Linked DNA regions of Kluyveromyces lactis. The protein of the gene in region 1 interacts with the protein of each later gene in a pairwise test. Links are inferred from orthologs where the notes say so. Each region holds a gene or a part of one and is shown on either strand. Other genes may lie near its edges. The genes, in order: CAC2 and MSI1.

Region 1 (3,467 bases):
GGCATTTTCCGTCGGCTCGACCCAACAACCGGGAACCCATATATTGTTCACTTCGGACTACTCAGATGAAGATATGCAAAGTGTGATGGACCACATCAACAACAGGGGGTCTCTTGCTGAAATAAACCACTCACTACCCAGTTTCTCAGCAATAGCTATTCCAAAATACCATTATCTGGCAAAGACAGCATGCGACGTTGAATAAGTACTAGAAACAAGACGTCAGACACTAGATCTGGTTAACGACAAGGACAAAAAGAACAAGAACATACATACAAACATAAACCCAAGGCTATAATAAATAATTTTAAACTAAATATAAAATTGTGGGGAACTTCATTTGTATTCCAATCCAAAGGGTATAGAACTGGTTCTCACGAACAGATCTATCATAAATTGAAATAATTGTAAACAAAGACTCCAAGAGGATGTTCCTTGTATTTCAAAGGACCCTCAGATGCACATTTCATTGGTGCACACCCGAAGTACCACACCTCTCCAGTTAGCAGTTCATTTAAGCACAATAACGGCTCCAGTAGTCTATTGAAAGAAAAGTTTACTGGGAATTTGACTGATGCGCTGAGTAAAATTCTCCTGAATCTCAACGCATTGGTATCTGCTGATACCACTACAAACTTCCCAAGTATAAAATGTTGCAATAGATGCAACAGTTGATCTGATCTGATCTGTGAGTACAGTTTCAGACAGCTCGAGCCTGAGTTATGACTAAAGTAATGGTGACAGATCTGAAAATTTTTTCAAACTGACTGAATTTATATTGAAAAAAACTGTTATTTCAGTCTACTATAGGGCTATTATATTGAAAAAAAGAGAAAAGACAGGCGGAAGGGGGTTGTATGTCGTGTTCACTACCTTTATTCAGTGTTGGAATATTTCTAATGGCATAAGGTTCCCATCATGCAATGTATATATTCATTTAAATATCCAATTTGCTGCTGTATCGCTGATATTCTTTCCTTAAGAAATCGAATTCCTCAGTAAAAGACGATACACGTAAACAATCTGGAAAAAAAAAGAATATCAGGCATTGAAGGGAAAGGTAACGTTGATCTAAAGAGTTATAACGAAATTTGTTAACGCACTAGTAGAGTAATTCTGAGCTCATAAGATAGGACTAGTTCAATTTATCTCAGTTCGAGTAGAGAAAGTGGAAAAAATGGTACAATCCGAGAGTTTACAGATATATTGGCATGACTCTCATCCGATATACTCGTTATGTTTTCAACCCTTATCAGAGACTAACCAGAACACTAGACGGTTGTTCACTTCGGGAGGTGACAATAAAATCAGGGTCTGGCAATTGAATGAGAGCGAAAATGATGGGAAGATAGAGACAATTGATTTTCTTTCGTCGTTGACGCAGCACGAACAAGCTGTCAACGTTTGTCGATTCAATAAGCAAGGTGACACGTTAGCCACGGCGGGAGACGATGGGTTATTGTTACTATGGAAGAAGAACGAGACTATGGTAAAGGAATTTGGTGTAGATGATGATGAATTCCAAGATTTTAAGGAATCGTGGGCTGTATGGAAGCGATTAAGGTCAGGGTCAGCCTCGAATGCCGAGATTTATGATATTTCATGGAACCCTCAGGGAACGTGCATAGCTATTGCATCTTTGGATAACACCGTACGAGTGTTCAATGTGGATCAGGGAAAAGTGGTAGGACATATAACGGAGCATAATCATTACGTGCAAGGGATTGTATGGGACCCTCAGGGAGAATTTATCGTATCGCAATCTGCAGACAGATCATTGGCGATTTGTAAGATGATTTATGAGGACAACGAAGTAAAGGGCTTACAATTAGTGAATAAAATATTAAAATCAGAACTACCAAGGAGGAAAAATCCTGGTGAAAAAGAACTCGATTTTGATAAGTCGAAGGTGACTTTCTTATTCCATAACGAAACCCTTCCGTCATTTTTCAGAAGGCTGTCCATGTCACCATGCGGCAGTCTCTTATGTGTACCAGCTGGGGTCTTCAGAAATGATGAACAAACGGATGCCTCAAATAATAACCCAGAGTACGCGAATGCCGTATATATTTACACAAGGGCTTCTCTAACTTCAAATTCAAACAAACCCGTGTTTTCACTACCCTTTCTACAAAAACCGGCATTAGTGGTCAAGTTTAATCCTATCATGTACGAAACCGCGTCTGAATGGGTGAAAGCACCTTATACACTGGTATTCGCTGTAGCAACTACGAATGAAGTGCTGGTGTACGACACACAAAATACCAGTCCTATAGCGATCGCAGGAAATTTGCATTATACCCCCATAACAGATCTTGCGTGGAGCCAAGACGGAACATTACTAATGATATCAAGCACAGACGGGTTCTGCTCATATATTCACTTCACAGACAATGATTTTGGCACACCTTTGAAAGATCAATCTATACCAATCTTGACGAAGGAACTCGAATCACAATCGCAATCACAATCACAACCAGAATCATCACAAAAGGCTAGTATCGTAAATCTTAGTACCGGTGCCGCCGAAACTCCAAACCCTTCACCAGCTAAAAGATCGATCTCGCAGCTTGTCTCAGAAGCTGCAACCACAGTTGGAAAGGAGAAGCTCAAACGCAGGGTTCAACCTACTCTCGTCACATCAGATCAACCTAAATAGAACTAGATTAGTTTATAGAGAGGGAGATGGCGGAATAACACGTGACTTTGAACTGTTCTCTACGCAATAATTACTGTGTATAGTAGTAAGTAATAATCGCCGAGTTAAGATTCGAGACACCAGCCGATTGCCTTATTGCCAAGCCCGTGACAAGAATCAGGGTGTTGGCAGTTCTAGGAGGTAGAAACAGAAAGGTCTGGGAAACAATATAGAAACAAAATAGGAAATGCAAAAAAATGGTTAGTCACGTGATCAACATTTCTCTCTGGAAAGACATCTAGCTGTAAAGGACACACTCTAGCATGTAATTGAGAATGGATTTCATTTACTGGTATATGTACGATTTATAGATATCTACACAATTGTACCTATCATTTCAGTAGAGACTGTAGGTATTCACTGTTTTCCACCTTTAGTTCCATACTCTTTCTTGCCTGCCATACCATTAATCTCTTTCTTTCTTCTATGGAAAGATCGTTGGGATTCAAGTTTGAAAGATCTTCTTGTGGATCCACGTTGAATTTTTTTAGCAGATTGTCAGCTTTAATGTTGGATCTTTTCCGTGGATCTGTAGATGTGCTATTGTTGTTTGTATTGTTTCCTGTAGTTACAGAGCTTCCGGTCGATTGATTTTGACCATTGGAAGAATTGCCACCTGTTTCAGATTCTGGGACGTAATCTGGTGGGAATGGCATATCTCTACCCGAGAGATATCTTTCTACAGTAGTTTCAACTGATCCGGTTTGTTCCAAGTCGTATCTGATCTGTTCTGGATGTAGATGTGGAGCCAAGGATTGTACCACTTCGA
Region 2 (3,366 bases), about 1.1 Mb from region 1:
CGCTGTGTTGCAACACATGAAGGAGTTCACCGAAGAAGTCAGATCTGGTGCTTGGAAGGGTTACACCGGTAAGTCTATTACCGATGTTGTCAACATTGGTATCGGTGGTTCAGATTTGGGTCCAGTTATGGTGACTGAAGCATTGAAACATTATGCTACCAACTTGAAGGTACACTTTGTTTCTAACATTGACGGTACTCATATTGCTGAAACTTTGAAGGATTTGGACCATGAAACCACTTTGTTCTTGATCGCATCCAAGACTTTCACCACTGCTGAGACTATCACTAACGCAACTAGTGCTAAGAACTGGTTCTTATCTAAGAACGGTGGTGACCAATCCCATATCTCCAAGCATTTTGCTGCTTTGTCCACTAACGCTACTGAAGTTGAAAAGTTCGGTATCGACACAAAGAACATGTTCGGTTTTGAAAACTGGGTCGGTGGTCGTTACTCTGTTTGGTCCGCTATTGGTTTGTCAGTTGCTCTATACATCGGTTTCGACAACTTTGAAGCATTCTTGAAGGGTGCTGAGGCAGTAGACAAGCATTTCGTTGAAACTCCATTGGAAGACAACATTCCATTGTTGGGTGGTCTATTATCTGTTTGGTACAACAACTTCTTCGATGCTCAAACACATTTGGTTGCGCCATTCGATCAATACTTGCACAGATTCCCAGCTTATTTGCAACAATTGTCTATGGAATCCAACGGTAAGTCCGTCACCAGAGGTAATGTTTTTGCAAACTACTCTACTGGTTCTATCTTGTTCGGTGAACCAGCTACCAATGCTCAACATTCTTTCTTCCAATTGATTCACCAAGGTACCAAATTGATTCCATCTGATTTCATCTTGGCAGCCCAATCTCATAACCCAATTGAAAACAACCTACATCAAAAAATGCTAGCATCTAACTTCTTCGCTCAAGCTGAGGCATTGATGGTCGGTAAAGATGAAGAACAGGTCAAATCAGAAGGTGCCACTGGTGGTCTAGTACCTCACAAGGTCTTCTCTGGTAACAGACCAACCACTTCCATCTTGGCTCAAAAGATTACTCCAGCTACCCTTGGTGCTTTGATTGCTTACTACGAACACGTTACATTCACCGAAGGTGCTATCTGGAACATCAACTCATTTGACCAATGGGGTGTTGAATTAGGTAAGGTTTTGGCTAAGGTTATTGGTAGTGAATTGGCCACTGATAACAAGATTTCTTCTCACGACAGTTCCACCAACGGTTTGATCAACCAATTTAAAGAATGGATCTAATGTGAGAATGCGATGCAATTTCCTTTTCACCTAAGATATGCAGTGAACTTAGAATTCCACATCTTTACGTACAACCAAACTAAATAAACTTCTTTATCAAAACGCTATGTGCAATGAATGACTTATATACGACAATGTCACGAATATCAACTACATTGGAAGTAATTGTTTTCACTTAATCAATCTCTTTTTTCATATTTACATTAAGGAAAATGAAAAATGATACACGTCCAAAAGATTCAACAACGCGTGATGTAGTGCGAGAGTACAGACATCGAGATTGTGACAAGATATAACAATACCAAGCTAGCTCATAGCATATAGAGGACGCAACAATGAGTGAGTTGATTATAGAAGAACCTCCAGAACTGGGCTCTGGAATTTCTAATGAAGTACAGCAAAGGTATACCAATTGGAAGAAGAATACAAAGTTGCTCTACGACTATTTGAATACAAACACATCGAAATGGCCATCTCTATCCTGCCAATTCTTCCCAGACCGTACTCTTACGAATGACAAACAAAGGATATTATTATCTTCATTCACATCGCAGCAACTTCCGCAGGATGAGTCAATTTACATCGGGTCCATATCTACCATGAATCATATGAAATGGAGTTCCATCAATAACTTCGACATGGATGAAATGGAATTTAAACTGGATAATTCATTGAAACTGAACGACAAGACATTAGAAGAAGAGGTACGAATAACGTACCCTGACGGTGATTGCAACAGATGTCGGTACATGCCTCAGAACCCCGATATAATTGGGACTGCATCATCAAATGGATCAGTGTACATATTTGATAGAACGAAACATGGTAATAAGATTTCCACAGGCAGGAAATTCGAAATCGAATGCAGAAATAACGGTGACGATGAACAGGACGAGAGTTTATCCCTTGCATGGAATTACCAATTGGAGGGTACCTTAGCTACATGTCAAAGTAACGGGAAAGTAAAAGTATGGGATCTTACTAAATTTGATAAGTCGAAACAGAGAATGGAAATACCTGAAAGAGAGAGTGTGATGGACGCGAATGGAGTCAATGATGTGTCATGGATGGTAAACCACACTTCCATTTTAGCATCATGCGGAGAATCCAACGTCATTGGACTGATAGACATAAGACAAGATACGAAAATGGACACATTACACCGTACTACACATACAGATGGAATCAATGCCATCGAGTTTAACTATAAGAACGATATGATATTGTGTACCGGTGATTCTCAGGGCCAGTTAAAGATCTGGGACATAAGAGATTTCAAGGAGCCAATAAAGGAATGGGAACATGGAGATCAGGATCCCATCTCTGCCATTCAATGGAACCCTCAGATACCGCAAATACTGGCCACTGCAGATCAACAGAGTGGATTAGTGAAGATATGGGATGCATCAGGTGAACAAGAGGACTCTAACGCTGAAAACAACATGCTATTATTTGTCCATGGTGGTCACATGCTCGGAGTCAACGACATTTCATGGTCACAACATGATCCATGGACCATGTGCAGTGTATCGAACGACAATTCAATTCATATCTGGAAGCCAGCAGCAAACTTAGTAGAACAATTGTAGATTAAACTGGAACATGTCGTCGATATATACATGTATCGGTATTGTTTATTCGCATATAATAAATGTGTCGCACGACACAAGAAACACGTTACTCTTCCTTGAATTCCTTTCACGTGACCTATAACCAATCATAGCACTGAACATGGACCAAATCACCGGGTACGAGATGCCACTCTTTACAACTCTCTACAACTCTCTACAACTCTTCTATGCAAACAGGTATACAAAGGATATGCCAATCTACCATGTTTCAACTCTATACTAGTTGCACAAGATACGCCATCAGCAACTGTTGTATGTTTTATAGTTGTATACTACTTTATGCCAATACTTTCCACTACGTATAGCCCATTTTTTATTTTCCAGCAGCCAGGCCAATTCGAGGGAAAACAAAATTTTCTCTTTCAACTTTTGGCGAAACTTTTAGGATTTGGAAATACCTACACTTTTCACACATCGAAATCCAATTAACTGACCTTTAATTAGTTAGAAGTTATAGACATACGT

The links.
Region 2: the proteins of CAC2 (region 1) and MSI1 interact in binary tests that used the Saccharomyces cerevisiae proteins (3 or more experiments, as listed by UniProt). The link is inferred for Kluyveromyces lactis from reciprocal best matches to the Saccharomyces cerevisiae genes CAC2 and MSI1.

The regions. Positions count from the first base shown.
Region 1 is NC_006041.1:982,492-985,958, forward strand, and holds CAC2 (Cac2p), read left to right. Parts: upstream 1-1,177; coding exon 1,178-2,659; downstream 2,660-3,467. Other genes in the region: KLLA0_E11155g (HAD domain phosphoesterase family swiss army knife RNA repair protein), read left to right, coding at 1-205; CUE1 (Cue1p), read right to left, coding at 3,031-3,467. UniProt on the Saccharomyces cerevisiae protein: Acts as a component of the histone chaperone complex chromatin assembly factor 1 (CAF-1), which assembles histone octamers onto replicating DNA.
Region 2 is NC_006041.1:2,093,641-2,097,006, forward strand, and holds MSI1 (Msi1p), read left to right. Parts: upstream 1-1,605; coding exon 1,606-2,859; downstream 2,860-3,366. Other genes in the region: PGI1 (glucose-6-phosphate isomerase), read left to right, coding at 1-1,270. UniProt on the Saccharomyces cerevisiae protein: Acts as a component of the histone chaperone complex chromatin assembly factor 1 (CAF-1), which assembles histone octamers onto DNA during replication and repair.